Linked DNA regions of Arabidopsis thaliana. The protein of the gene in region 1 interacts with the protein of each later gene in a pairwise test. Each region holds a gene or a part of one and is shown on either strand. Other genes may lie near its edges.

Region 1 (16,396 bases):
GGAATAAAATTTCGATTACTATATATCGCTATCGAATTTTTGTTGTAAATGAGACGAACACTTCTCTTCCCAACAACCACTTTTGACTTGCATAATAAATAAGAAAGATTCAGAGAAAAAAACTACAAAACTAAGTGACGTTTTTGGGGTTCTCAAAGATTTCTACTTCAATCAAGAATAACAATCATTACAAAGTTTCAATACTCTTAATCAAACACATATCCGTTAATCATTTTGTCTAAATCTTCTACTAAACCTAACGTGCTTTACAAGCAAGCTTTGTCTGTTTTTAAGTGAACTGTCTTCTCATGTAAGTATCCTCATGAACAAAAACAGGATCTTCTACTCTCTCTGGAATCTGAGGCTGCCCCATTGCTATTCCTGTTCCTTGGGTCGTTGTGGCAGCAACAATTTGCTTATTTGAAGTCAAACATAAATAGTAGACAATCCCAAGGGCAATAGTAACAAGCGAAAGCACAGCACCGGTAGAGAAAACGCCTGGTTTCACTATGTAGCAAAAGTAGGTACCAGCATTCATTGATTCCTCGGTGTGTTCATCGTTGAGTGCAGCTCCAGAAAGCAGCACGAGGAAAGCTATTACAAAAGTGAACCTATAGTAACGCGAAATCACTCACTCACTAGTTGTAAGCAAATTATAAGTAGGAAACTTGAAGCAAGAAAAGGATTAGAAATGATGAGAATTACCAGGAAACAACAAAGCAGATTAAGGAGATAATCCAATTAGACCTTGAAGGAGCAGGACCTTTTCTACAACAGAAACAACCGCTTGAGACACTGACTATTATCTGAGCCATCATCAGAAAGAGAGCTGAAGTGAAGCCGAGATTGAAAGCTGGACTTCTTGGATAAGTGCATTTTGTGATTGAATCCGAAACGGTAACCGTGACCTGAGATCTCTGCATCGATTTTAAGATAAAAATGAAAAACAAAACCTTCAGAAAAAGTTTGAAACATTGCACAAATACACACCAAGAAAGTTTCTTAATAGACAGAGTAGTTCAAGAGAATAAAACTGATTCTACATACCCTGCAAATTCTATATGACTAATTGATTCTAAAAAAGATGATTCAACCGAATCGACCAATACATAAACCCCATTAAGAAAGGCTATAACTTTGGTTCAATAAATCCAAAAACACATATGTGAATTGTGAAAAGCTTGTGAATGAGACTTAGTTGAATTGGAATCTGACATTAAACATATCAATACATATGCAATTACCAAAACACACCAGAAAACAACTCTTTACCACACAGTCTCTCTACAAAAAAAATTACTATTAAACTTCTCAAAGATCTTCCAAATTTGAAATCAACAAGTTCTTCTATACAAAAACCACCGTGAATGGGGACCATTACTGTTTCATTGAAAAATTCCCAAACCAACGAGTTTCCCACCAATTATTATTCAACTCCCATCTCAAAGATTGAAGCTTTCATCTCAAACGCATTTTCAGGCAATGAATTTCAAAATCGACACATAAAAAGAAACGCAGACAAAACCCAAAAATCCTTTAGATAGAGTTTCAACAAACCATTGTGGCTGTAATAACCCAAAGATCATGAGAAAAACCACAAATTTCACTAAAAAACAGAAACCCTAAAAAGTGCTGAAGAAGAAACCTTGATTCGAGTAGCTTCAGCGACGAAGGCAGTAACAGCTGATAATAAACCAAGAAGAAATAAAACACCACACATCACAATCTTTCTCCTCTCCATCTCTGTCTCTCTCCCACCAACTCCGAAGATGCTGGCTTTTTTTTTTTAGTCTTTGTTTACTTTTTTTCTGCTTCTTCTTCGTTGGTAAGAAAATGGAAAGTTGGTGACAAACCCATTAAACACCGCACTCACTTTTAGTCGGCAAAGTACTCTACTCTCTCCTCCTTATTACATAGATCCACGCGTAATGGTACTTTCAAGTTTCAATAAAATGTATTTTCTCTGTTTTGGTTTGGTTTCTGATTTTGGTTTGATTTGTTCAATTCAGATCCGACCGGACCGGTTTGCTACTGAGGTATGCAAAGAAATTATTTAGAGAAAATTAATCTATTTAAAGTTTCCTCCATTTAACTAAATAAGAATAGCTTATTGGTTACATAGATTTTATTTTATTTAAGAGTTTCATCATTTATAAGACGAACACATTTTATCTGTTTCTTACTATAATTCAAAAATGAATAGAATGACAATATTCTTGACCAAAAATATAAAGAATGAAAATGAGAATTTTGTTCTATCATTTGTATTTTATTCGTCCATGAATTATTTATCTTTATTCATTTCAAATTTACTATTTATCTAATTAAAGAAATTAGATGGACTTATATTTGATAAAATTCTTATGAGGTTTCGTCATATTTACATTTTGGTTTAATCAATCTAAAGATTCTTGTGAATCAAAAAAGATTAGTGCCGCCTTGGATATATTCATCATATAAATGATTCAATCATAGGTCTCTCTTTCTCTCTTATGACATAAGTTAATGATGAATCTATTTTCTATCTTTAGATAAGCCATAATTAATTCATTCCTAGAATCAAGCATGTAAGCAATAGAAAGAATCAAGCATATAAGTAAACTTTCACTCTTATCGCTAAACAAAACGGTATAAAAATATATCGTTTGCGATTTGTTAAATACGTCAATAAGTTTGAATATTCCATAGTTATAAAGATTTCAATATCTCAATTATAGTCCATTATTAGTTTCCATGTTATAGCACACAAAATTAGTGATTAGCGATAATCTCTTACCATAGAAACACAAAATCAAACGCAATATCTTTCAATTAACCACCTTTCTTTATACAAACCTATATATACATTTAGAGATATATATAGATAGAAAACGTATTATCATCGAAATTCGTTCTCATCGTCAAGCATATGAGTCGTCCAAAAATGAAATCTTCGTTGTTCTTTGTCTTGTTATGTTTGTTTCAAATAAACAAATTATGTTTCTGCTTAGAAGAAGAATCTCTAAAGGTTAAAAACGGATTTGGAAGCAATGGATTCATAAGTGTCACTAGTTTCGGAGCTATTGGCGATGGAAAGACTGATGATACTAAGGTGTTTATTTATAGAATCATCACTATTTGTATCAAAGTGGTATGTATAACCTTTGTTTTAATGTATGTGTTATGTGTATCAATATATTTCAGGCTTTTCTTAAAGCATGGGAAGCTGTATGCAAAGGAGGACACAATAGAAAGATTCTTGTGCCTCAAGGGAAAACCTTCATGCTTAAGCCTCTTACATTCATCGGTCCATGCAAGTCTTCGACCATCTCCTTATCGGTATATATATACTTGTCTCTTTCTCTTGTTTCAAATTATATTGGAAAATCCAGCCCTAATGTGAATGATTTCAATAGTGATCGATTTTAGCTTATGAGTAGACAATAACTCGAACCAATGTTTAAATAATTTGGTGATTTATTTACATTAGATAAGAGGTAATCTTGTGGCACCGGGTTACACTTGGTATGCGGGAAGATACACAACATGGATTAGTTTTGACAGTATCAATGGTCTTGTTGTCACCGGAGGTGGTACCATCGACGGTCGTGGTTCTTTGTGGTGGGGCAACGTTAATAATCGCCCCTGCGTAAGTCCATTTGCAAGATCCTCACAACCATAAATATGAACTTCGATCAAATATTTATTCTCAGTTATTAATGATGTTTCTTTTTCTTCCTTGCTTTTCTTAGGCAATGCACTTCAACAACTGTAATGGTCTTAGGATATCTAATCTCCGACATTTGAACAGCCCTCGGAACCATGTAGGTCTAAGTTGTTCACAGAACATCGAGGTCAGGGGTTTAAGGATGACAGCACCCGGTGATAGTCCAAACACGGATGGTATTGACATATCGAACTGTATAGGAGTCCACATACATGACTCAGTGATTGCCACTGGAGATGACTGCATCGCCATTAATAGCGGTTCCTCTCATATCAACATAACCGGCATTTTTTGTGGCCCCGGTCACGGTATCAGGTGATTCCTAAAATCACAGATTCACAAACAATCATCATATAATATACAGCAAGGTACATGCTAAATCATTTATAGTATGGATTTGATATTATAGCGTAGGAAGTCTTGGAGTAACTGGAGATTTCGAAACTGTTGAAGAAGTGAGGGTAAAGAACTGCACTTTTACAAAAACACAGAACGGTGTCCGAATCAAGACATACCAGGTTGTCCATTAATCTTCTTTTTTTATTATACATCATTAGTTCTTGGTCTTATTCAGCATTTTCACAAACTAAATCTGTTTTTTTTTGTTGGCGTGAATGTTTTGTAGAACGGATCGGGATATGCTCGGAAAATCTCATTCGAGGATATCAACATGGTTGCCTCAGAGAACCCTATTATCATAGACCAGACTTACCACAATGGAGGTACGAACGGAGGAATAAGCAAGTCATCTAGTAGCTATCAGAACTGTCATTTAACAGCAAAACAACGGACTCCGTCTGGTAATGGGAAAGGCGTGAAAGTGACTGACGTGCGTTACGCTAGAATCCGTGGGTCATCTGCAAGCGATCAAGACATTACATTGAACTGCGATGCAGACTTGGGATGCTCAGATATAGTGATGGACAATGTGAATATGGTTTCAGCGACATTTGGTCACAAGTTGTTTTCTTCCTGCAAAAATGCTCATGGGTCTTTATTTGCTTCAAAAGTGGATTGTCTGAAACATTAAGTATGCCTTTCTTGTGAAATCCTTTCCTTCAAGAACCAAGAAAGAAAATGGAGTCTTCTCAATTTTTTTCTTAGAAGAGAACCGTTTTTCCTCGAGTTTTTTTTTTAAAGTAGAAAACGTCTAATTTGTTCTTATTATTGGCTGAATAAATGTTTCAGTTTGTTACTTTTACTATTGCAATAAATCCTGCAGAAAATTGGGTTTTGGGGTCATATCATCTAAGAAAGACTGAAACTCTGAGGTTGCTTTGAATCAAAACAAAGTTGGGATTTTAACCTCTGCAAAAAATGAGATTATGGAGAAGAATAGAAAGGTTCAAACGCTCTTTGACTGTGTAACAGAGAGATTGGGAAAGATGTTCATTAAGAACCATGGAGCAGCTAGTGTAAATTAGCTACATTACTCTATCAAGAACTGAAAACTGAAAAAGAGGTACTAATCAAATCCATAACTGGAGTCCTTAAGTTGATTGAATCATTGACAAAAGAACAATGATTGGTTCATGATTATCAAACCAACATATTAGAACACAATCAAACAAGGCTCCAAGTTTGAAGTTTTATTGCAAGTTTATCAATCAAAATCCAAACGTGCAACAGATCAGATAATCAAACAAGCATTGAACAAGGCATAAGAAGCATATATTTTAAGTATTATAGATCCTTCAATCCCCAGTTCAACAAAGAGCAAACATCGGAAAACAAACGCAGAAAAAACCTAAAACGGCACAAGTAGTAAAGAGACTCTTTCATCGAAATTCAAACAACTCGAAAACACTAAAGGACCTGAGGAAGACGAGGGACGAAGCAGCTGGATCTTACTTAATCCTTGTTCTTGAGCCTCTCAACCCTCTGATTAAGCTGCTCAATCCTCACAACCAAATTCGTGACAGAGTACAAAATCCAGTAGAAAACAAGAGCCGACGCAATCAGAAGCGCGTTACGCTGAGACTTCATGATCGATTTCTGGTGACGAAGATGCTCAGAAGGAGTACACGAATCACCATCGCAAGAAGGTCGAGTCTCATACTTCCAGTAAATATCCATAAGAAGGAAGAGACAAAACGGGATTATCGAGAGAAACGGTTTCAAGAGATTACGAGTTACAGCGACTAATCCTTTGCGGAGAGCGTCAAGTCCAGGCATCGTCAAGAGAATCACCATGATCGCTTCAGCTGCTGCTGCGTAACCTAACACAACCCATTCGAGAGCCATTGGAGAAATCCGATCTAGATCTGAGTCGGTTTTGGTGCTCTGATTTGATTTTGATTTTTTCTTAGTGAACAAGTTTTAGATCTTTTTCTTTGCCTTTGTTGATTATTTGGTACAAAAGGTAGAAGAAGATGTACGGAGGGTTAAGCACGTGGCGCTTGTGTGGTGTACGCGTCTCGCACGTCGAGGTTTCTTAATGGGCCTATTTCAACCCAACTTTTTTTTTGTCATCAGCCCAACAAAATTGATTTTCCCAAATTCATATTGTAATGCGTCATCAAGTATATTCTAGAACCTAATCTTGTTCCCTGATTTAACGTTCGTAAATAAAATAAAAATCTTTATGGTTTAGTAAGATAATAACATAAAGATATATTAAAACGACAAAAGCTCCATTAAAGTTGTTAACACAAAGAAAGAAAAAAGTTCTATCAAAGTCATTATTAAAAACTTGATTAACACCAAAACTAAAAGAACTTGCACCTAACAAAACTCAAAATCTTTATCATCGTTCACTATACTTTCGAGAGACCTTCTTTGGAATTTGAAGTTGATTCTCTGTTTTCTTTTCATCATTGTCAGAATTATATAGACAAGACTCTTTTTGCACCACATTAATCACATCTTTAGGCTTATGTTTAAGAGAGACAGAAGCTTGAAGAGGATTACCGGAAAACTTGGAATCTCTAAAGACTCTATCTTCACCACGAGTTCCAAGCTCTACAAATATTGTGTCGATTTCAGACTTGGTCATTGGAGTAGAACGTTTGCGTACGCCAGTCATGTCAAATTCCCTCCATGGAATCTCTCCGTTTACATATTGATCAAATCTCTGAAAAGTTTCTTTGAAGTCTTTCACGTCTTTTGCGTTAGCCATCGTTTGTTTGTTGTTGATGATTATACTCTTTGAATTCACTTGTGTGACTTCAAAGATTGTGGAAGGTTTATAAATATATATAATTTTTTTTGGTAAATGGTTTATAAATATAATTAGAATTGGTAGAAAGTTTATCTATCAACAAAATAAATTAAAATTGTTTAACATTAAACCAAAAAAAAAAAAAATTAAAATTAGTTCTCTTAAAAAAAAAATACAATTTGGTAAAAAATTAATGTAATTGTGTTTGATATATGGTTTGCAAGTACCTTACTCTGTTTTTAACTCTTGCTGCTGCACTAGTTTGATTACAGAGAAAACAAGAGTTACATAAGAAGGAGAGAATCGAAAAATGCTTTACATAATTTAACTCTCAAGTTGATGTCATCAACATTCATTCTTGGTTTGCAATTACAAAGCGGACTTGTTTTATAGAGATTATAAAAGTTTTAAGAAAAATTTATTGAAGACCATAGACAAGCAAAGCTCCAACAGCTCCAAGACCGGCCAATAAGCCAACAATGACACCAATTGGAGGCAATCCTCCTCCTATGGCCTTTCCTGTGTTCACGTCATACTTTGCAAACCTCTTCTTTGGTGCTATACATTGAGGACATACGTATGTATCCGGCTGTAAAAGAACCCCGAGAAAACAATACAAAACTTAGTTATAAAAATCAGAAACATATATGCAGCCAAAATCAAACTTGTATATAAACTAAAATTAAAGGATTGAGACTCACCTGTTCGTCAAAAGATTTGGGTAAAGTGTATATGAATCCACAATCAAGACAAATGTGAGTAGCTCTTGCCTGCAAACGAGAATGTAATGGTGTCAAGACAAATCAATCAGTCAAGTTTCTAAAAAGGGGTTTTAAATGCAATAATTCAATCTTTGAAACAACAGATTGCTACTAGCCTTCTGAGTCTCAGTTAACTTCCTTCCAAACCGTGGAGGAGCCGGACGCTTATTTAGTTTCTTAACATCAACTTCTGCACCTCTGTGTTTGATCAAAGATCATAAATTGCATCAGAAACTAATAAAGAACCTCAAAAAGCTTAATGAATAACCTGAGGTGCTAACTTATGCAGCTTGTTAAGCTAAGCATTGCGAAAATCTAATGACATAGCATAAGAAGAGAACTAAACCTACACATTGCACCTCAAGAAGACTTATCAACTATAGCATCAGACCATGGAATACTTAATCAAGACTACAGCTTTTCACAGGTTTCTTGTGCACAGGATTCAAAGGAAACATATTTGCGACAAATTTGATCATTTCAATCTAATCCTTATTTCAAAAAGCAGAACCCACATTTCTAGCAAGATAATACCAAAATAAAAACAAGAGAGGCAATCACAACCACACTCAAACTCACCTGCTAACAACAAAGTAGACAGAATCAGGTTTTGCCTGAATTGCAGTTTTAGTAAAGCCAAGCTTATCTGCAGGCCAAAGCTCATCTCCAAAGAAACTGCTTGTGTACACAACTTGATCTCCAGATTTAAGCCCTGCTTTTGCTGCGTTCCCTCCTCCGTCCACACCCTGAAAACCAAAAACAAACCCCTCAATTTTATCAAACAACAAATTTACAAAGATACCATTCCATTGCAGAGACTTAGTTCAAAATAACTCACGGTGATGACAACTCCACCGCCTTGCTTCTGTCCTAGAGTCAGACCCAAAGGCTTATCTACTTCAACCTCTATTGTCTTAGAAGCTGCTGCTCTCGCTTTGATTTCGAATCTTCTCAACCCATTTAACCCTCCGATCTTTCTCTCGGAGACAGCGAAGATCTCTGATACACTCTTCTTCGAATCTTCCAACGAAACTCCTTGAAACACAGTTTTCTAAACACACAAACCAAAACAAGAGAAAAAAATATACATACTTTTAGATGAAGCTAAGTCCAAATCACATTCAAGAGGAAGAAAACGAGAATTTCAGATTCGTTTGTAAAGACATCGAAGAGAAGATATAGACCTGTGATAAAAGAGAAGCAGAGGAATGGAGTTTGGGAGATGGGTTTGAAGTAGTAGTAGTTTTGGTGAAGAAGGAAGAGACAGTAGCTCCTGAAATCGCACCAGACGTTGCCATCTTTCTTTCTAGTGTGATCGAACGAAGAAGCTTTGATTGATTCTTAATTTCGATGTTGTTGCATGCGTTTTGTGAGAGAAGCTAGGTTTTTTTGTTTTTGTTTGAGGAGGCCCGTGTCAAAGCTCCAAAGAGATAACCTTTTCGTGGTAATCGTAACATTTTCGTGTGTTATGCACGGTCCACTCTGTCCACACTCTTCTCTTTTTTTTCTTTCTTCACTATCCACACTCTTCTCATCTTCCTCAAATAACAATCACAAATCATTTCTATATCCTAATTTATTATTTTTCAAATTTCTTGATTAAATTATGTTTTGTTCCATGAATCTTCTCATGAACATTAATATGTTACGTAAAAAAAAAAATGTTAGTGGAAGAGAAGTAGTGTGATGTGTGCGTTAGATAATCGGAGATAAATGAGTTATTAGTGGGAAATTAATGACACAAATTTACATCCTTTAGTTTTAGAAGATGGGCTTCCTTCTGAAGAGCCCGTTACAGGTCCATGTCCATACTGTACAAAATACATAGCCTTCAGACGCAAAACGGTGGCGTTTCATTGGTGGGGAATAATCTAAATATACATTTTTGCAGTCATTTTAACAAATAAATCTTGGATTTGGACTTATTTATAATTCAATGCCATTAGCATTAAATCTTTTCTCCAAAATAATTAATTTTACTTTAAATTCTTGATTTAAATTGTCAACCACATTATCAATCAAATTTAATCCAAACAAACTTCAAATCAATCCCTTAAAATTAGCATAAACATATTTGTTAACAATATTTTAAAACAAAGTATTTTGTTAAAACAAATATTATTCTTACTAAACGTTTTTTGTTTAAATAAATAAATCATGTATTTGAACCTATTTACAATGTCATGACACTGATATTATTTATTTAGGAATAAAAATATTTAATTAAATATTTAAATCTTTTAAATCCTTGCTTTTAGAGTTATTATGTCATTACCTAAAAGGCTCAAAATATAATCTTTTTAAATATTATTATTTATATATTTAAACTTTATAAAACATTATTAATATTTAAACTTATAAAAAGTTTAATATATCATAATTTTTTAACATCATTATATAATATATAGAGTTTAAAAAATCTCAATTCTTTCCGTCATATTTTGTGACTCGAAATTTAAAAAATGAGCATATATTAACCAATTGACGAAAATGTGTGAGTTGTACGTCCCACATCAACTAAAATATTTAGACAATAATTCATAAACATATCATAAATAAGATTAATATTAATAAAATAATAGTTTTTTTACGGGACGGGTTTGGCGGGACGGGTTTGACAGGACGTTACTTAATAACAATTGTAAACTATAAAATAAAATATTTTATAAATAAATATAATTTACAAAATTTTATATATACTAACTTTAAAATATAAATTATTCCCGTTGTGTATCGTTGTGTAACGGAGCACCACAACACACGAATCGTATTGGTGTGTATCCTCCCATCTCTTCTCTTCCACACTAATATTATTATTATAAAAACTCACACTCAACTCTCAACTACTGAATTCACCATTAATAATACTCATCCTAAACAACTCTCTCTCACTCTTCTCTCCCTCAATATTGTGTACAGAAATAGAGTTAATGGCAGCCAAATCGAAGAACATTCAGGTGGTCGGGAGGCACATAGTCAACGGCGTTCGTTCACGCGCCGTCGCATATGGTCTCTTCACGTCTCGGTAGCTCTTTCCTTTTTCTCTCTGTCTCTCTATTTTTCTGCTTTTGATAGTTTACGTTATCGATGATAATAAAGGGGAAGGAGAAATATAAATTTGGACATATGTAAATTTCGTGATATAGTTTGGCTAGGTCATAGTGTTCTAGACGAGATGTTGATCTTTTACCTATGTTATTGGTCCCACATCTAAACTCAAACTTGCTTCGACTGAAATAAGTGTTCAAAAACTTTCACAATTGTGTCCCCTTTTTTTTTTTACTGCCTAGACAATGGTGTGGTTTTGGAGACTTTAACTGAAATGATCATATCCAACATTTGCATATGATCCAACATTTACAAAGAAATACATATAAATTTTTTTTTTTTTTTTAAACAAAGGTTTTCTTATAAAATCCAAAAGGAACTATGCATATTATATGGCATATCCAATTGGGCGTAAGAGAGGATAATACCAAAAAGGTTCAAACCCAATCGTCCATCAAGGAATGACACGTGTCTTTATACAGATTATTCCCTTAATCTTGGAGAGGGTCAAGTGAGAAAAATACATCTTGGAGAGGTCCTCATTTTCTTTCTTTCTTTCTCTAACATGAAAAAAATGAAGTGTAATTATCTCTGCGATTCCATCATATTTTTTTAGTGTTGTGTCGATCGTGCGAAAGACCGGATCTTATGAATTAATTTACAAATTAAATATGCATGGACCATGCAACTTCCTAAAAACATATTTCATGGCACTAATTAAAGTCACTAGGGAGGAGACCCGCGCGTTGCGCGAGGTGGTTTGTTTTTGGTTTTGTTAGTATGTAATTATAACTTCGATTTTTTTTACTGATCTTTGATTAAAAGGGGAATATCTTTGTTATTTGCTAATCTTATCTTTTAATTTTTACATTTTTGTAATCTATGTATAGTTTTACATTTTTTTTTCATGTTGTTACCAGTTATATGCTAGAATTTATAGGACAATAGACCAAACTTACTATCTTGTAAGAATATTTTTTAGAGTTATATATATCTAAGCAATGCATTTGTTACATTGGTCTTGTTTTTATATATTTTATTTTAAATTAAAAATACAATGGAAATCTCTCTCTGTTTCGCATTAAGCGGTTGCTGCAGAGGATAGCGAAAAACAGAGACTAACGACGAAGTTATTTTACACATCGTTGCCATTGTTAATTTTGGCCCAATATGAACCCGCCCATTTGTTTTTTCTCTTTGTGTCTCTGTTAAAATCTTAGAAACTACTCTTTGGTTTTGGGAAGATTTTACTTTTCAACGTCTCTTCGCGAATTAGCCAAAAAGAGTTGGATTATAACAATATTAACATTGAAAGTACGATATGCTTAGATAATTAATTAAAAGTTTGATTTTATTGTAAAAATAAATTTCCTTACAACAGCAAGGAAAGACACACATTAAAGCAAAAGAAATAAGAGTAATAACTTTGTTTTGAGTTTTTGTGATAGTTCACTGCCTCAAACATTATAGGAAATTTTTTAAAAACAGTTTCCAACTCTCTAGATGTTTTGTTTAAGTTATACCATAAAAATAAACTTAAACATTTGTTTGTAGAAAAAACATTTCTCACATGTGTTGTCCAAATCTCTTGGATGGCACACGTCGGGGGGTTTCATGTTGCGAAGTGATATCATGTAGCATCTTTTTCTCGCCACTCTAATCCCATTTAGTGAAGTTTTGATTTGTTTCCAACACGTTTCAGCCATGGTGGTGTCTTTAGCCCATTCAAATTGGCTCATATAGGTTTTTCCCTCTTCAGTCCTTCCTCTACATAATAATAGCATGACATACATGTAGATTGCTTCTTTTTGGCCTCCGTTAGCTGCTATGCCAATATGGTGGAGACCAACGTCACAATGATCAAGGTTAAAGTACCATATTATACCTTTTATGTAGTGAGCATCCGGGTTGTTGTTGGCAAGACGTTTCTTCATAATAAGAAGGTGTTTGCGGCATGATAACGGTTTCTTCACCAACGGAGCAAGATTAAGGGTTTTGAACACGCGTTCATCGTTTCCTGATGTACCTAGTATAGGAGATGATGATTTTATAGTAGTTTAAAGGAAGATCTATAGGAGGTTTTTGCTTTTCTCCAGTTACAGTTTCGATTTGAGATATTTAAAGTATGAATTTAATTGCAAGTAGTAGAATTTTGTAGGAATTAAGCCATGTATTTAAGTACCTTTTAGTGAATAACTGTTGATGTTTGAGCTTCTGGGGAAGAAAAATACAGAAAGCTCCATGGGGCATGTTGGGGGATGGATTGCACCCCTCATTTTAGCTCGGCCCAAATCAAGAATAAACTAATCAACATCAAGCCCAAAAAGCCCATAAAAGTTGGTCCATTATCCTATCACCAGCTTAGTTTTTCTATAAATAGAGAGGCATCTCAAGGAAAAAAGGAGGAAGAAATCCATATTAAAACGTCTTCAAGCTCCTCAGCTCGTTCTCTAGCTCCTCTGCTCGTCCTCAAGCTTATCAGCTCGTCCTCAAGCTCCTCAGCTCGTCCTTAAGCTCAGCTCGTTCTCAAGCTCCTCTGCTCGTCCTCAAGCTTTTCAGCTTGTCCTAAAGCTCCTCAGCTCGTCCTCGAGCTCCTCAAGCTCCTCAGCTCGTCTTTAAGCTATCCAGCTCGTCTTTAAGTTCTTCAGCTCGTCTTCAAGCTCTACATCACTCAACGACCATCTCCTCGCCTAGCTGTCAGCTCGTCCAATTCTCACCTAGTCGTCAGCTCGTCCCTCAAGTGCACAACTCATCTATCTCCTCGCCTAGCTGCCAGTTCGTCCATTGACTACACAGTCCGCCTATCTCGTCTGCCAGCTCGTCTAGACTTTCACCAGAACTCGATTTGTCCGACTCGTCTCTCTACTACATTTCGTCTAGCTTGGCCCCTGGCTACCAGCTCGTCACTCAAATACTCAGTTCGTCTAACTCGTTGTCTATCAACCAGTTCGCCTCGTAACTAAGTTCGTCCAGCTCTTCGCCTACCTGCCAGCTCGTCACACATCTGCTAGCTCGTCGCCTAGCTGCCAGCTCGTCACCAACCTGCCACCTCATCTCTAAACTGCCTATCTCAATATACGACCTACCTCCAACGATGACCTAGCTCACTTATTATAATATGAACTACGTATGGCTTGATCCCTTTTCTAAGGGTACGTAGACAACCTTTTACAAGGTGCAGCTATAAAACTAATAAACTCTTATGTTTATCGCAAGAACGACCTAACTCCCGACCTTCAACGCGATGAGAATGTTTTTCCCTTATCAAAGAACTTACAAATATACTTTGTTGAAATTCGTTCATCAACAGGGCAGTGACTGAAACACTCTTTTTCTCTTTCGTCGTCCTCTGAATTGCGTCGATCGAATAGGAGAAAATGAAATCAAGGGTTTGCAGTTTTAACTGGGTTTTCTTAGGTCCTTTCGGTTCATAGGTTTTTTACTAAATCTTGGCCCGATACACATCACTAAGTCTATTTGGTTCTTTGGCTCATGGGCTTTTTGACCAAATCGTGGCCCCATAAACATCACTAAATCTATTTCACGTATAGAAAAAAATGTGAAGGCGAGTAAAAACATGTGGGCTCCACATTAAAAAGATGTAGTGACGTGGACACTTTTAGAGGAGAGAAAACTCTGCTATTATATATATGATTTAATCTTCTTGGTTGAAGAGGCCATGGTGGCATGGTCCATGTATATTTTTGTTTCAAAAGTAATCATCTTGACCTTGTAAACAAGATGTACCTTCTTCACTTCACATTCTGAATCTAGACGAATACAGATGTCTATTTAATTAGTAAAACTAAAATCTAGAGTTTTGTGTTCATGTAGAAATTATTTATAAAATCAAATATAAATAAATGGACCGACAACATGTAAGAATATGTTAGTGGATAGAGATCTCAATAGCCATAGATTTCTGATACCATTCTCTTTTTAAAGATATGGGATGTTTTGACTATCGGAATTGAAGATAAACCTGCTAGGGTTGGTAAGTGATAAAAGATGTAGTTGTTCTTGTGGGGTTATCTTATCTTCTAACCATTTTTCTTGTTTTATTCATACGGTTAGTACAGTCGATCAATATCTCACCTAACGAGTTCCAAATTTTAATCTCAAACACTTAGATTCACTCATTCACCAATATTATTGCTAGAAACAAATTTGTTCTCTTCTTGAACAGGAATGATCACACGTCTGCGTATGATAAGAACGTCGAGGAAGAATTGCAACCGAGTCAAGTGCCTGATGAAATGATAAAGCCTGACTCTGACAAATATTGGTCTCCTCATCCCCAAACCGGTGTCTTTGGACCTTCCTCCTCCTCGACCAACGCAAAGGACGAATTTCGCGGCGGTCAGGAGGACTCAGTGATGGAGGAGAAAGCCTGGTTCCGTCCAACAAGTCTCGAAGATTTGGACAAGACTCACCATTCGTAGCAAACAAACTCTTCCTTTTATTTGTGTTTTCCAAATAAAATTTGAAGTAAAACTGTTATGCAATGTTTCGAAACGAACTAACTTTTGGTGTTATGATGTGTGAATGTATCACTTGTTGCAGTTTGAAAAATTACTTCTGGTTCATATATTAACTAAACTAATAAAGAGAAAGGTAGGATAAATAATAAATTGAACTTTCGATCATAATACTAAACAAGTTATATTGCAATGTGATTACTCCCTACACAACGTATGGCCCATAACACCTTATCTGGGCTGTATTGTTTATATGGCCCATAACTATACTTTTATGTTTACTCAAATATGGCCCATAACTTTATAAAAACACTATTAAAATCCTATGATTTGAATTAAAAATTCCTAAAATGCTCTTGAAATACTGTAATTTTCTTATTCCGGTGTCCTTTTTCGGAATATTTCTTCCTTTTTTTGGCAGATACATGACAAGGTGGAGAGTGTAAGAGAAACTAATTAAAATATTAATTTCCCAAAAAATTCAAAATTTAAAAGCTCCGCTCCAACAACGGTCACACTTGCAATCTTAGGGATTCAATGGCTTCCCTTGGAAACGAGATATAAATACCCTATTTGCTCTCATCTTTACACTCATAGCAAAAAACATCTTGTTTTCTCTGCCAATCTCAATTTCTCTCCCAACCAGAAAATTCTCTCACTCTCTCTCGATTTCGCGGAAATGGATTTCCACAGCCTTTTGAGAAGGGATCTTCAATTTCTCTGCAAGAGGAACAAAATCCCAGCTAATATGACCAATATCGCCATGGCTGATGCTCTCAAATCTCTTGAGATTGTAAGTTTTCTTCATCTGTTCGCTCGATTTCATTCTGAATCTGAACAATTTTGGAAATCGCTCACACTCGCATCCTGGATCTGTAGTTGTTTATGGATACATTTATATGAATCGGATAGTAATCGTGCTTGCTCGTTTAGTGACGAAGATCTGTGGAATTGAGCAAGATTGAGAATCGTTTTTGCTTTGAAAATTTTCGATCTCAGATTTGTTGTTCTGGTCGATCGCTGCTTGATTTGTTATATAATCTACGGAAATTTGTCAAATCAATCAAGAGCGAGATATCGTTTTGGTACTTTTGGATATTTCTGGATCTCAATGTTTTCTTGTTAGGTCATCACTGCCTTATTCGTCGATTAACTCCACCTCTGTTGATGATTAGTCTTAGCATGGTGGTTTAGAAATTGAACTTGTTTAGATCATTTTTCTCAAGTTGGAGTCGTGGTTTTT
Region 2 (16,493 bases), on another chromosome or scaffold:
ACGATGAAGAAAGGAAGGAAGCCCGTAAAGGAAAGGTCTTTGAAATCCCTCATGTGAAATATTTTATGGCTTTTAAGGGTATTTCCGTCTTTTTCTACTTGTTGTTATTGTCTGGTTTTGTTGGTACGGGGGTTTGGTCTGTTTGTTTAGTTTGGGAACATTTGTAGGAAGATTTTCTACATCTCTGTTGTATTTGTTAGATGACTGTTTTAGTTGTTCTTTAAATTGTTTTTTTCATAGACTCTGATGTTGTCTACACAGATTTAAAGAGTCTTGAACAATTTTCAAATCACCATCGGTTAAACCTAATTGTATACATGTTTCGAATCCTATCCTAAATTGTTAAGTTAAAAGTAAATATGAGGGTCTTTTAAGAGTTTAACAAAAGATATAGCTTTACATAGAACAATTTAAAATATAGAAGGTTTTAGGAGCGTCTCAATTTTCAAATTTAAATTTATATCGATTAATTGAACATGTACATTATATGATTACAATCTATCAAATGTATAAAAATATTACAAAAGATAATACCTTTTAATTTTATTTCAGAGATACAAATAAAATGATATAAGAGTACACTGTTTTGCGGAGTATCATAATCTGAATTAATTTTAATAATTCAAAATATCTTTTAATATATATATTTATCATTATATAAAAAATCTCAAAAAATATTTTCTGATTTAATATTACTAATACATGATAACAAGTAACAACATGCATCATATTAGAAAAATAATATACTCGCAAAAACTTTAAACCTAAATTTTTTTGTCCTAAAGAAACACTTTTATCCCTCAATTTTGTTTATATGATGATGTTGGAGCTTGTGGATCTCCTAATCTCTCAGAGATTTGCTCTGATTTTGTGCGAAGTTTGTTTTTTATATGATGATGATGTTGGTTGTCGGATTAATTCCTCCACAAAAACACTTAACATTCCCAATTTCTCTTTTCTTCATCTTTATTTTCTCCGATTAATTTTTCTGTAATTTTGGGGATTTTGTGAGGTTCATTTTGTGTTTGAATTGATTTGATCTATTTTAATTTTGAATATGTATGGCAAATCTATTTTTTTTTTTAATTTCAATCTGAAACCAGAGAAGAAATTATCTTAAGTAGAGTACGAGTTATAGGTTTCCATAAGATTGTGATTTATTCGTTTTCACCAACCACTAAAAGAAAGAGACAAAAAACACGTTGCATTAGTTTTGTTGGCGTCTTTAGCATTTTCAATGTAGTCTATATTATACATTGGTTCAGCTTGAAAATTTGCAACCTTGATAATTAATATTGGGATTCCCTATAATTACTGGTTCGCATATCTCACTCGACAACTCGTATTTAACATAATTATAGCAACAAATCACCACAAAATATACTGAATTTAGAAGATTTTCCATAAAATTCAATAACATCTATACATTTTTTTTGCCGATCAATGCAGGTTTACAAACTTCAGTTAATTATGTTAGTTAACATTTTTAAGTTTTAACAATTTTCTATATTAAGATCTTTATGAAAAGGAAAAAGAAAAAATGAAAATAAAAATATGTATAACTCAATCATTATAATATAGAGAATAGAGAAATTAATGTCATTGTTAGTCTCATTATGTTAGCTTCCAAATAAATTAAGAAAAAAATCCTTAATTCTAAAATAAAATAAATAATTAGAATTAAAAAAAAAATCAAATATAAGAAGAAGTTTTCTAAAAAATTAACAAAAAGTTAGTAATAAACAACCGAGAGCGAGTTTTCATTCATTAACTCGCTCTTGGTTGCTTATTCAAGATTTATTTGAATGGATGGTACGAATGTAACATGTGCAGTAAATATTAGATTTAATGTCTTAGTGAGCATTTTGCAATAAAAATCTGTGGATTTCATGTTTATTACAAACAGTTTCTTATAAAACATTTCCTTCATTATTCATTAAGAAAATTAATTAAGAGCACAAACATTTCCTTGTTCGTTTGCCCTAGACAAGGCAATAAATCATATCCTAGAGAAGCGTAATCGATCATTCGATTTTCTTTACCTAAGCGTACAATTGAATGTTTTCTTATATTATTTCTTCCGTTCCTTTGTCTTATTATTCCTTAAGTCTATGTTCTTACTTACGTTCACTCTTTTTTTCTTGGTTACTCGGACAGATTCCAAGTTTCTTATTCTACAAGATAAATGAATCTTGGTTAAAATCAAACGTGGAGGTTGTGAAGAAATGGACAAGACAAGTCAGTTGCCTGATGAATTGCTGGTGAAGGTATTATCATTTCTTCCAACAAAAGATGCTGTAAGAACGAGTCTTTTATCGATGCGATGGAAGTCTCTTTGGATGTGGCTGCCGAAACTGGAGTACGATTTTAGGCATTATTCAGTTTCGGAAGGCCAAGGGTTAGCTAGATTTATTACTTTGAGTCTACTAGGACATAAAGCTCCGGCCATTGAAAGCTTGAGTCTCAAGCTTAGGTATGGAGCAATTGGATCAATTAAACCTGAAGATATCTATCTCTGGGTTTCACTTGCAGTTCATGATAGCAACGTCCGTGAGTTAAGTCTCAAGCTTTGTACTTTTGCGGAGCGTCCAACTAAATTGCCCAAAAGCTTATATAAATGCAAATCGATTGTGATCTTGAAACTGAAAGACGAGATTCTCGTTGATGTTCCTCGTAAGGTATGTCTCCCCTCCTTGAAAACATTGTTCCTTGGACGTGTGACTTACTCGGATGAAGATTCTCTTCACCGACTTCTCTCCAACTGCCCTGTTCTTGAGGATCTAGTTGTGGAACGAGATAGAATTGACAATTTGGGGAAATTGAGTGTGGTTGTCAAGTCCTTGCAGAGACTAACCCTAAAGATGTCTTGTCCTTGTCATCTTGATGGGATTATGATGAATACTCCTTCTTTGAAGTATTTGAAAGTCACTGATGAAAGGCAAGAGAGTGATAGTGATAATGAGAGTGATAGTGATAGTCCTCGATACTTCTACGATTTTGAAGATATGCCTAAGTTGGAGGAGGCAGATTTTGTATTGACATTCCAAAATATCAAAAAGTTCTTTAAATTTGTCACATCTATTAAGCGTCTTTCGTTATGCTTGGGAGTCTACACCGAAGAGGTAATCTGTTTCCATCAATCTATCAAACTTATTTTTGAACAATATTCTTGAAGTTGAATCTTTTGTCATCTTATGCAGTCTTTATATCATGAGGGTCTTGTCTTCAACCAGCTTGAACAATTGAAGATATGTTCATGTGATTCAGATTGGTCAATTTTACTTTCTCGGTTACTCGAAAGTTCTCCCAATTTACGAGAGCTCGAGGCTTACGTGATAGAAGTAAGTTTCTTCGTTAGAGACATATTCCATTGGTTCAATTTACTATATTGTTTAAGCCAAACTTCTCATGTTTGATCACAGGATCATCCAGATAGGCGTGTGGATCTACCAAATCAGTGGGGCAATCAGCTGAATTGTGTTCCTAAATGTTTGTTGTCGAGTCTCGAAACGTTCAAGTGGAGTGAGATGTATGGATTGCTGCAGAACCAGATGGATGTGGCTAAATATATCTTGAGAAATGCTCGATGCTTAAAGTCTGCGACAATCTTTTTTCCGACAACCTATGCTAAAGAAACAAGAGATGAGATGATCGAGGAGTTGTCACTTTCTTTTCAAGGTCCAGAGACATGCCAAGTCTTCTTCCATTGAGGATGTGAATCATAAGGATTCAAACTTGCATTTCCATAGACACTACCCTCCATATTACAATGGTTTTTTATTTGCAGCAACTTGATCTAAACTTAAGGTGTTTTTTTTGTCTTTGTTTTTTTTGTATACTTTATCTTTGAGCATACTATTTTTCTTGAGACATTGGCTTTATCTTTTTCTGAGATCTTAACAAATAACCGAACTTTGAAGAGACAAGACATGACATGAACTTTTATTTGCAGCAACTTGATCATAACACAAGACTCAAACACAAGACTCAAACACAAGACTCTTCAGCTTATAGATCATAAAGTAGATCAATAGCACAAAAAGATATCAATTAGAAGATCAGTCAACAATATAGATGTTGTAGAAATTTGCATCCTAATAAAGTTCATTACAAAGAAATGACCCAAGTTTCCCACACATATCCGCATCAAAAAAACAAGTGCCATAACATTGCATTAAGATTCATATTCATATTACCAAACAGAGCACTTGCACACATACATCAACACAAAACCGGCAAGAACATCATAGGAACACTCATTTGAAAAAACCCAAGGAATAGATTCGACTATGTAAACACAAACAAGTATCTAGGAAAATCAAAAACATAAGTAATAGAAGAATATGTTACCTTCAAAGAAGAACGAGATTTTCTCAGCGCTCTCAAACCCGGGTTCTCAAACCCGAACCGGACCGGAACCGGACCATTACCCATTTAACCCGACGGTTTACCCATAAGCCGAGCCCTAATTTTTTCAAAGAAAAGGGCCCTAAACTTTTCGTCTTCTCGCTTCCCTTCCTCTATCTCGTCTTCTCGCTTCCCTTACTCTATCCCATAGAAAAACCCTGAATTTGGTTTGGCCAATGATGTCAAAACTCTTCATTGATACTTAAGAAAGTTTTCTCCATTGTTCTTCTTATGGTCTCATTCACATTTGGTAAGTCTCTTCAACGATTTTGGTTTTGTGAGCACTTACTTCTTCTTACAAGAATTACATGTCTTTGTTCAGGTTGTAACTGTTGATCTGTTTCTGTCACAAAATGGGTTCGAAAAAGAAGTGTTTTGATGGTTCTAGAGATGGAATCAGCGGTTTACCAGACGCAATGATTTGTCACATATTATCATTTCTTCCAACTAAAGTAGCTGCTTCAACTACCGTTCTTGCCAAAAGATGGAAGCCTTTGCTTGCTTTTATGCCAAACCTTGACTTTGATGAATCCTTCCGTTTCGATCCTCGAATGACTTGTGAAGAGAGGAGAAAGGGTTCTGAAAGTTTTATGCTTGTCGTGGATAGTGTATTGGCTTTGCAAGCGGAAGCGAATGCTACGTTGAACAAATTCTACGTTAAGTGTGAAGGTGTTGAGCAAAACTCGGTGCTTGAATGGATACCTAAAGTGTTGAAACGTGGTGTGTTAGATATTGATCTACAGATCCCTTCGTCTCGCGGTTTTGGTTCCAACTCGACTTTTTATCCTCTACCTTCAGAGATCTTTGTGAGCAAGACATTGGTTAGACTAAAGATACAGTTTCAGGATGGTGCCAACGTTAATGTGGAAGGTGATGTTTCTCTTCCGATGCTTAAGACTCTCCATCTTGATTATGTTAAGATGGATACCAGAATGTTACAGAAGCTTCTTTCTGGCTGTCACACGCTCGAAGAATTATTGCTGATGAATTTGATATGGAAAGAATCTTCAGAACCTGAACCTTGCTTTGTGAGTGTTTCTGTCCGAACCCTCAAGATACTAAAATTTTCTCGTTTTGAAAATTTTATGAAGGCTAAAGATTTTAAACCGATCGTGTTATTGTCATTTGATATTCCAAATCTAGTCTACTTAGAGTACTTGGATACAATTGCGGACAAGTATGAACAAGTGAGGTTTGACTCGCTTGTTAAAGCTAGTATTGGTCTTTGTAAGACCTCTAAACAGATTGAAAATGACAATAATAATGTAACAAAGCTTTTCATGGGAATATGCAATGTCACGATTCTCTACTTGACTGAAGATACTCTTAAGGTCAATCACATCTTTCTCCTAATCTATTAAATTTCTACTCAGATATTGATAAGTGAGTAATCATATATGTAGTTGATTTGGTTTCTCTTTCAGGTACTTGGTTGCTGCCGTGAAACAATGCCGGTATTCGAGAACTTAATTCACTTAACTATTAGGACTGGAGTACATATAGGATGGAAATCATTACCACATCTACTCAAGAATTGTCCAAATCTACAAACTCTTGTCTTCGAGGTACTGTATACATCCTTTAAATCAACCGGTGACATGCTTTTGAAACACATATAATTAGACTTTGATATTGATTCATTTTATGTTTCAGGGAATGCATCATATATATAGGAAAGGAAGAGCTTGCGGGGACGTGGACGAGGATGGGACGTGCATGTGCAAAAATCTGGATAATATGAGGGTGAAGAAGGATATTGATGCTTGTCTATCGTCAAGTCCGGTGAAGGTCATAAAGATATTGAACTTTGGTGAACTTTGTGGGTTTTGTGAGTTTTGTGATGTTGAAGAAGATGTAGCGGGTCAGATAAAGCAGGTCAAGCAATTCCTAGAGACAATGCCGGATCTTGAAAAAGTGATATTGTACTACAATACACCAGAGGATGAAGATGTGATGAAGGTGTTCAAGAAACTTAAGAAGCTTCCTAGAGTAGCTTCAGCCAAGTGTGAGGTCCAAATAATCTCTGATAACATCAACTTGTCATTTACTTTCCGTTAGATGATCTTTTCTGGTTTCTCAGCCATGGACATGTTTCAGGCAATCAAGCTGCTACAAGTTTGCTAAAAACTCTAAACTCTGTTTCTTCCTTTTGTTATTTCCTTTTTCTTCTCTTTATTGGCTTTTATCTTACAAACCAGTGAACGTTTTGTGTTCTTTTGTTGGTTTTAGTAATGAATTTGTGTTTTTTTATGTTTTTAATTTGACGTGTTAGAAACTTGCTTGTCAGGTTAAACCAAATCAAACACCATAATTTATTTAGTTAGGTCTGCAAATATTAGGTCGTTGCCTCTAATATCTAACTGCTTCAGTTTCATCAAACCTCTAAGCACCAAAGATGCAACAACTAATATTGAACAAGACTCAAAAAGCGTTAGAAAACACTACATAACGTACCTTCAGTTGAATGAATCTCATTGTGACTGAGATCTAACATTTGGACAAATATAGCAACTTCTCGACCGCGGCTATCCGAGATAGTGTTAAGTTACTGAGCCTTAGACATACAATATTATTCATATTCCTGTACCGAAAGAGGTGTCTGCACATGGATTCAATGCTCCTGTGCATCAACATTCTCTTTATGACTTGAGAGATCTAAGAGCAGAAACTCAACTTGAGAGATTCACTAAAAAGTATGTACCTCGTGGAGAAGAGCTACGTTGTGCTCATCCTTGTAGTACTGGTCATGCCAAGAATCAAGAGCCATTAGATCGTTATACAGTTGGAGAATCATGACTTGCTTTCCTTGCGACTAAAGCAATGTTCTCTACTGTCAAGTTTCAGACGAGCAACCCAAACACAAAAGTCCACTTGAGAGTTTTTCTTATCCGAAACTGGTTCCCAGACAAGTTCTTTGAGTTCAGAATCAATAGTAACAGTAGATGAGCTAACTCCACTGACGGCTTGGTCAAAGTAAACTTAGTAGAAGAGGCATTGAAACAGCCAGGTCCAGATAGAATGATAATAACTCAATTTATTAACACCAAATACACGTTAATATAATACTACAAATTTCAAAATCAATTACAAATCAACAATTCTCGTACAAGAATGCATCGTGTATGACAAATTAATATTCAAACAAATAATATATAATTGTGTATTCAAAACCATATTATATAAGCGTAGAGAATAATATCATCAAAGACTTGTGTTGAGCAACTCTCTGTAATCTTTACGAATTCCCCACAAAATCTCACTGCATTTTTTCATGCTTGGTCTCGAACGTCTATGAGGAGCTAGACATTGAAACGCCATCTCCAATACCTTCTCTAATGCTAAGTTGTTCGCTGAATTCTGTTCTAGCTTCGGGTCCAATACCGATATCGTATCTCCACTCGTGAACTTCTTGATCGCCTGATCAAATCACAACCATTACACATGAATCAAAAACTTGTTGAACTTACTTTATAGTAGCTAAGAGAATGTTTAGTGTTACCCATCTAATGGTGATGCGTTCTTTTTGTCCTCTGCTAAGCTCGATGGGACGCCGACCTGTGAGAAGCTCGACGAGCAGTACACCAAAAGAGTAGACGTCACTTTTCTCTGTGAGTTGATACGTTGTTAAGTACTCTGGGTCTAAGTAACCAGCGGTTCCTTTGACTTGTGTTGACACATGCGTGGCTCCTGAATCAGTATCTGGAGCTAATCTTGCAAACCCGAAATCAGCAACCTTGGCTCTGTAATTCTCAGTGAGGAGAATGTTTGAAGATTTGATATCTCTGTGGATGATAGGTGGCTCTATAACATATCCAAAACAAATGTGTCAAGGAACAAGTACTATTGCCATGAAAGAAAAAGAAGGAACCTATGTATACAATGGACTTACGTGTATACATGTGAAGATAGGTTATGGCATGAGCTACATCGGTTGCGATATCTAACCGAGTCGCCATGTCGAGAGTCTTTCCTTCCTTACCTACAAACAGATTCACATTGATCGATTAGCTTGAAATGAATATATACAAAAAGAAGATAGTAGTAGGATGTGTACTCACAATCCAAGTGATCTCTAAGAGTTCCATTGGCTACATACTCCACAACGAGAATCTTCTCGTCGTTATGAACAACAAATCCATAGTATTTAACCAAACTCAAATGAGTAACTTGAGCTAATGTCTGAATCTCACTCATAAACTCTGCATCTGCACCTTGACGGTCGTCATGCATACTCTGCATCAAGTTAGTTACAATGTTATAGCGACAATCTCCATTAAGACAGGACTTAGAAAGGAATATTCAAACCTTTTTGGCACGTTTCACAGCAAAGGTTTTGCCATCTCTGAGTTTGACCTTGTAAACAGTGCCAAAACCGCCTTGTCCGATCCTAAAGGACGGAGAGAAGTTCTTGGTCGCGTCGTAGATTTCATCGAAGGTGAATCTTGTATGCTCTGTTTCGTTTGCATTTCCATAACTCCTCTGTACACTACTACTTCCTGTTGAGCTACGTCTACTACGGATATTATTGTCTGCTCACACAGAGACCAAATAAAATCATCATCAACTGTTTCCACTAAAAGTCTAAAATCTAAGAATTACTGATCAAACTATACCGGAAGAGGACTTTGAATTGTCGATGTAGTTGGAGGAAACGGAATCGGGAGGAGTGAAGCAGTTGATGAAGATACCGGAGATGCGACGAGCGATGGAGGTGGTTGTGTCGGTGGATGTACGGGCAGGGGTTGTCGGGAAGGAACGATCGGTGAAAGTAGTGTTACTGTAATTGGAAGATGTGGTTGCAGGAGATCCGACGGTGTAGCTATGTCTCCGACGACTGGGCATCGGAAAGTTCGTGGAGAACGTGTAGCAATGGTGAACACGGAAGGAAGGAAGAGTCGGAGAGACTGACTTTACAATTTTTTCAACTTTTTCTTCTCCGTTGAAAAAGACGACTGTTTTGGGTATTTATTGACGCCAGCTGTACAACTTGACGTTCTCTGATTAACAAAATTTAAACTCGACAAGCTAAGATAATTAATGTGTATAATTTCCTTTTTTTTTATTACATTTTGTCTAATGATTTGTAATAAGCTTTTTTATTCCTTAGATTTAAATTCGATAATTATTAATTTTGAAAAAAAACGATTGGTTTCAAATTTTATTGAATAACTAAATACTTTGTATATAATAGTAGTTCTCGGCGTTCAGTTATCCATTCCGTTATCGATTTTTTCGGTTTTAAAGTTTAGTATCCATTCGGTTATTTGAAAGTTCTGTTCGGTTTCGATTTTAAAATTTAGTATCCATTCGGTTATTTCATTTAAAATATTTCGGTTATTTTGAATATTTTTAAATATTTTTAGATATTTCCAAATATTTTTACTATTTTATTTATATTTTCAAGTATTTTTAGTTATTTAGTCTAGAAATAATTAACACTTTTAAAAATATATTTATACTTTAGATATTTTACCCAAAATATTTTGGTTTGTATTTATTCGGTTTTATTTCAGATATTTCGGTTATAGAATTTAATATTTATTCGACTAGTTTCCAATTTTTGGTTCGGTTCGATTTAATTTTTTTTTTCTTCAATTTTGGTTCGGTAAATTCGATTCAATTTATTTACAGTAGTACTTTAATTCGGTTTAAACGCTCCAAAACAGCACGTACATGGAAAATTGCATATGTAAGATTATTAAATAATTTTAGTATTTAGAACATCTACTAAATTCTGTCATTATTGAATTTATAGAGGATAATTAGTTCAATGCCAGACGTAATCTATCCGAATGATTTGAAAATTTTCAACTAATATCTTGTTAGCGATTATTCCGCCGCCACCATATTAAATGCCAGATGGGTCTATCTCTATTAATGCAATAATCGAACTCGCATTTAATTTGTATTTTTTTTTACAACAAAGATACCAAGAAAAAGGTATAATATTTTTCTTATAAAGTTACTATTAGATACATTTTATATGAAAAAGGCTTAGATTAGAGGAAATAATAAAATGGTAGATTAAATTACTTTGATTAGAAGTCAATCAATATTAGGTTACGGTTAACAAGGAAGATTCATAGGCAGGTGAAGGATGATGAGAATTGAGACCTTACCAGCAAAATATTCAATAGCCTCTGATAGCGACAGAGGGTTTGACCTTCTGTAGAATGGACCATGGTCTAAAATGTTTATAGCCCATGTTTCAGAAAACAAAAGCCCAATGATTAGCCCGTATCCTTAACCGACGTCGTACTATTTAAAAGGTATTTAATGAGATTTGAGAATAATTAGGCAAACTAAATAAAGTAAAGTAGGATTACAGTATAATTACTTACTATGATGAGGTTATTCGACTAGAGAAAAGGAGCTCTGTGTGTCGAAACCCTCCGTCGCCAGCATTTATTCTTCTCACTTTTCTTCACCGGAGAATCACGACAACATCAAATTCTCCGGCGACATCTCAGGTTATCTTCGTTTACTGCTCTCATCGGTTAATTATTCCATCTCTTTTTTTGTTTCCCGGAGTCGGCTTTCGTGTACTTTTTGTTTTTGGTCTTTTCGGCTTCTTCAATTTTAGGGTTCGCGTACTGTTTAGTGTTGTTTAGTTTCTGATTTAGATGTGCTTACTGTGTTCATGTTGTCGTCTATTCTTATGAGAAGATCTTATGGTAGAGTTACATATCAATGATGTTACCAATTTTGAAGGTTATTGTGTTGTGTTTGATTAAAATTGGCTCAAGTGTGAAATGCTTTTGCTCGCGTCACTGTTTTCATTGCAACTTGACTGAATCCTAGAGGTTGTTTTAGAATATAGATTCAAGTTTCAGCTATTGATGGGACATTACAACAGAGCATAAGGAACATTCCCATACCTTTGTGTTTCTTATGGATAACTTTGGCATCAGATCAACTTTTTCTTTTGTCATTTTGCTTATTAACACTGTAATAATCACTTGTTATTGGGATTTCTCAAGTCTGCTTTGATTAATCTTGTTTCGTAATGTTCTTCTCACTATTCACTCTTCCCATACCTTTGTGTTTCTTATGGATGACTTTGCCATCAGACCAACTTTTCTTTTGTCATTTTGCTTACTAACACTGTAATAATCACTTTTTTTTTATTGGGGTTTCTTAAGAGTACTTTTGATTAATCTTGTTGCATTCAAGTAATCGTTGTTCAGTTCACTCTTTTCCTGCAGTGGCAGTGCATCTGTAAAATGCTTCAAGGACTGTTGTTCGCTACTCTTGCTTAATTATTACTATAGCTGGTGAAAATGGGAGGTTGCTGTAGTTCTTCGAGGAAGTCACATCTTGTTGGAACACCTGTTTACTATTATGTCAGTAATCCTTTTCACCATCTTGCATTTGTGTTGCTTTGCACTACTGACTATCTATAGATTATGATTTTAGTTAAAACAAATCGGGACAAGAGCATGATTTTAGAATCTCAACAATTTCTTGTAACAATCTCGCTTGAGTGGTCGATAGTAGACTACTAGAGGTCGTGAGTGAGCTGTGTTTGAAAAATGTCTTCTGAATTATCTACAGTTATTTGATTGTGACACTCTACAAAGTTTCTATTTATTAAAAGTTTGTTACGCAGTGTCCAGAATCTTTTGAAGAGCTTGTCCCTTCAGGAACCCGTGCTGGTGTGGGATCAGCATTCACCACAGGCCTCTTGGTTGATATAGGTTTGGAGACATCTATACCTGACACCTTTTGTGCTCCTGCTCCTCTTCCATATGATTTGCTTTTGGGGCGACCACAATGCACAGATTCTGAGTCCATCAAAGGAAGGATGAGTGGAAGCAGTTTTGAAACGCTAGCGACGTGTGAAGATCTTGGGGAATCAGACTGTAAAACTCTAGCCAGCTCAGTCATTCTTTCACCGAGGAAATCAGATTTCTCGAAACATCAAGGATTGAAGATATTGGTTGATGAAGAGGAGGACTGTTGTCCTATTTGCTTTGAAGGTAAGAAATCAAGACCGTTGAATAAAAAGAACTCTTTAACTCTTGTTTTTATGAGAGAGCTAAACAGAGTCGTGGATTGCACTATGCAGATTATGATGTTGAGAATCCAAGACTAACGACAAAGTGTGAGCACGAATTTCACCTCTCTTGTCTTCTGGAGTGGATTGAAAGAAGCGATAGATGCCCAATATGTGATAAGGTGTGTTTCCCGCTTGAGCTTTCTTTGGCAGATCGATTGTCTTGATGATCAAAGAATTGCACTTTACTGTTGGGAATTCGTAGTTAGATCAACCATTGATGGTTGCGTAATTAGGGTAAATAAGTGCACAATTTGGCAACTAACTAACATTCTGTCTTCTTTAACACAGGAAGTTGTGTTTGATGATCGCTTGAACTAGCATCATTACTATCCCCTGGCTTGAAAGTTTGAAGGTGTGGCGCTTTGTTTGGTTAGTCTACTACATAATTAGCATACATCTATTTTGTTTCTTCCTCACACACTTTAAGTGTTGGGTCTCCACATTTCCACTTAGTTTTGTCGTATTGGTTATGTTCGTTTTGCCCTTGTGCGATCATATAGATATACATAACAATTGTAAATATTACCTAGCTTCTTGTTCGTTCGTTTGTGATCTCCGGGGTGTGATAGAGAAGAAAGGACCACCATTTCAGTATTTTGATTGTTTGCATCTTCAAAATCATGTCCACTCTTGTCTTGATCCATGATTCTATCTTAGCAATATTGGTTAATGCCCTGATCTGGGAATCATAATAAGCATGATTTTGTTTGTTTGTTTGGTTAAAGAAAGAGAGAGATTCTATTAGATATGGATATAGTATAATTCCATAGTCTAAAGAGAAACTGAATATTCCAAATAGTAAATTGATCCACATGCGACTAGTCTTGTCGTGTGTAAGATATTAAAAAGAAAATGATTCTTTGATTAACACCTTTTGTCTGCTGCATAAAGTAATTAATTAGAAATAATTAAGAAAAAGGTTAGGAATCATTTAAGAAGAAGAGAAAAAAGATGTCATGGCTTTGACTTCTAGCCACTTATGTCTGCCACTGCCACCTCCCTCTTCTCAATTCCTATTCTGCCCTTCTCTTTCTTTTAGTTCCTATCCTGCCGGTGTTGATGAATGAGGGTTAATATAGTAACTTTGGCGTTAGGAACTATAGTTCCAAAACCTTTTTCTGAATGAATTTACTTTTTGGAGGTATGAAGTCACAGCTTTTACAGATTTTATCTTGCAAAAATTCTCTCCACATTTCAAACGTCTAATAGTTAAAGAGAGCTTTTGTTTTTTCTTTCCCATGTCTATCAGTATCACCACCGAGAAAATATCATCAACACCACCAACCAAACATTAACCCACCCGAGAGTACCCAATGCCATGTACTACTTATCTTCCTCTTCTTCTTCTCCTCTTCCTTCTTCCACCACCATCTGTACAAAGCAAAGTTATCATCAAAGGAAACCAAACCATTCTGAGTTTCAAAGCTATTTTCCGGCTTGGTTTCTTCAGCACCACCAATGGTTCCTCCAATTGGTACTTGGGTATCTCTTACGCTTCTATGCCAACTCCCACCCACGTTTGGGTCGCCAATCGAATCCGACCCGTTTCGGATCCTGACTCTTCCACTCTCGAGCTCACCTCCACCGGATACCTAATCGTCAGTAACCTCCGTGACGGCGTCGTTTGGCAGACGGATAACAAACAACCCGGAACCGATTTCCGGTTCTCTGAAACCGGGAATCTGATTTTGATCAACGACGACGGTTCTCCGGTTTGGCAGAGCTTTGACAATCCGACTGACACGTGGCTTCCGGGGATGAATGTCACCGGTCTAACAGCTATGACTTCGTGGCGGAGTCTCTTCGATCCTTCGCCGGGGTTTTACTCTCTGAGACTGAGTCCAAGCTTCAACGAGTTCCAGCTTGTTTACAAAGGAACCACACCGTATTGGTCCACCGGAAATTGGACCGGAGAAGCCTTCGTCGGCGTTCCGGAAATGACCATTCCTTACATCTACAGGTTCCATTTCGTTAACCCTTACACTCCCACGGCGTCGTTTTGGTACATCGTCCCACCGTTGGACTCCGTTTCCGAGCCACGGCTGACGCGGTTCATGGTCGGCGCCAACGGCCAGCTGAAGCAGTACACTTGGGATCCACAGACGCAGAGCTGGAACATGTTCTGGTTGCAGCCGGAGGATCCTTGCCGCGTTTACAATCTCTGTGGTCAATTAGGGTTTTGTAGCAGCGAATTGCTCAAGCCCTGTGCTTGCATCCGCGGTTTCCGGCCTAGGAACGACGCCGCGTGGAGATCTGATGATTACAGCGACGGATGCCGCCGTGAAAACGGTGATTCCGGCGAAAAGAGTGATACTTTTGAAGCCGTTGGTGATCTACGCTACGATGGTGATGTGAAGATGTCACGGTTGCAGGTAAGCAAGAGCTCTTGCGCCAAAACTTGCTTAGGAAACTCTTCTTGTGTTGGTTTTTATCATAAGGAGAAGTCTAATCTCTGCAAAATTTTACTCGAGTCGCCGAATAATCTGAAGAATTCGAGCTCGTGGACTGGAGTTAGTGAAGATGTATTGTATATCAGAGAACCAAAGAAAGGGAATTCAAAGGGAAACATCTCTAAGTCTATAATTATATTGTGCAGCGTTGTTGGGTCAATCTCAGTTCTTGGGTTTACATTGTTAGTGCCATTGATTCTGTTGAAGAGGAGTCGAAAGAGGAAGAAGACTAGGAAACAAGACGAAGATGGGTTTGCTGTGTTGAATCTTAAGGTATTTTCTTTCAAGGAGCTTCAATCAGCTACCAATGGGTTCTCGGATAAGGTCGGACACGGCGGTTTTGGGGCGGTGTTTAAGGGAACATTACCGGGTTCTTCTACATTCGTGGCTGTGAAACGCTTAGAAAGACCTGGAAGCGGGGAGAGTGAGTTCCGGGCAGAGGTATGCACCATTGGGAACATTCAACATGTCAATCTCGTTAGGCTTAGAGGTTTCTGTTCAGAGAATCTTCATAGGCTTCTTGTCTATGATTACATGCCACAAGGATCCTTGAGTTCCTATCTGTCTAGAACAAGCCCCAAATTGCTAAGCTGGGAGACCCGTTTCAGGATCGCGTTAGGTACTGCCAAAGGGATCGCGTACTTGCATGAAGGATGCAGGGACTGTATTATACACTGTGATATCAAACCGGAGAACATTCTTTTGGACAGTGATTACAACGCCAAAGTGTCTGATTTTGGCTTGGCTAAGCTCCTTGGACGTGACTTCAGCAGAGTTCTAGCCACGATGAGAGGGACATGGGGCTACGTGGCTCCCGAATGGATATCTGGTTTGCCCATCACGACAAAAGCTGATGTGTATAGCTTTGGAATGACATTGCTCGAGCTGATCGGTGGTAGAAGAAATGTCATTGTTAATAGCGATACACTGGGAGAGAAAGAGACAGAACCAGAGAAATGGTATTTAGAGAATGTCTTTTACTTGGAATCAATTGTAAGAGAGAAAAAAACATATACATTGAATCAATGAATCCCTTTTCAGGTTCTTTCCGCCATGGGCAGCGCGTGAGATCATACAAGGCAATGTGGACTCTGTGGTTGACTCTAGACTCAACGGAGAATATAACACTGAAGAGGTGACGAGGATGGCAACGGTGGCGATATGGTGCATACAAGACAATGAAGAGATAAGGCCAGCAATGGGAACGGTAGTGAAGATGCTTGAAGGAGTTGTGGAGGTGACGGTTCCTCCACCGCCTAAATTAATACAAGCTCTTGTCTCCGGCGATTCATACCGAGGAGTGAGCGGCACAAGCTGTAGTGAAGGCCATGGCTGTTCGGATCTCAATACAGGTTTGTCTAGCCCTGGCTCACGGTCGTCTTTTGGTAGACCTTCTCCTTGATCAATTTTGTAAGGTGATTTGGTCAAAACCAGCCTTAAATGTTTTAAGTGTTGCTCTCTAAGAGGGTTTAATTAGTTTAAACTGTATTTGTTGGTTGTATGATATTTGACTTAATCGACATTAACAGTTAAAACCATGGATTATGTCTTTCTTCTTAGTTTGAAAGTTCTTGTCA

What was found.
Region 2: the proteins of AT5G17190 (region 1) and RLK4 interact in a protein complementation assay, tested with the Arabidopsis thaliana proteins (one large-scale study listed by BioGRID).

The regions. Positions count from the first base shown.
Region 1 is NC_003076.8:5,641,864-5,658,259, reverse strand, and holds AT5G17190 (B-cell receptor-associated-like protein), read right to left. Parts: upstream 6,090-16,396; 5' UTR 5,951-6,089; coding exon 5,558-5,950; 3' UTR 5,087-5,557; downstream 1-5,086. Other genes in the region: AT5G17210 (transmembrane protein, putative (DUF1218)), read right to left, coding at 290-611, 706-917, 1,646-1,741; AT5G17200 (Pectin lyase-like superfamily protein), read left to right, coding at 2,924-3,091, 3,184-3,318, 3,470-3,628, 3,732-4,021, 4,116-4,224, 4,332-4,736; AT5G17180 (uncharacterized protein), read right to left, coding at 6,453-6,824; ENH1 (rubredoxin family protein), read right to left, coding at 7,285-7,455, 7,568-7,636, 7,744-7,825, 8,207-8,373, 8,466-8,678, 8,812-8,925; AT5G17167 (nucleic acid-binding, OB-fold-like protein), read right to left, coding at 12,193-12,442, 12,467-12,701, 12,858-12,951; AT5G17165 (uncharacterized protein), read left to right, coding at 10,558-10,652, 14,862-15,117; AT5G17160 (aspartic/glutamic acid-rich protein), read left to right, coding at 15,833-15,946.
Region 2 is NC_003075.7:135,179-151,671, forward strand, and holds the start of RLK4 (receptor-like protein kinase 4), read left to right. Parts: upstream 1-13,433; 5' UTR 13,434-13,779; coding exon 13,780-15,875; intron 15,876-15,957; coding exon 15,958-16,318; 3' UTR 16,319-16,493. Other genes in the region: EDA8 (Putative membrane lipoprotein), read left to right, coding at 1-57; AT4G00315 (F-box/RNI-like/FBD-like domains-containing protein), read left to right, coding at 2,226-3,122, 3,201-3,341, 3,423-3,710; AT4G00320 (F-box/RNI-like superfamily protein), read left to right, coding at 4,761-5,738, 5,832-5,972, 6,061-6,465; CRCK2 (calmodulin-binding receptor-like cytoplasmic kinase 2), read right to left, coding at 7,609-7,824, 7,907-8,208, 8,297-8,386, 8,466-8,640, 8,713-8,936, 9,021-9,249; RHB1A (RING-H2 finger B1A), read left to right, coding at 11,688-11,750, 12,017-12,386, 12,476-12,585, 12,755-12,784. UniProt on the Arabidopsis thaliana protein: Serine/threonine-protein kinase.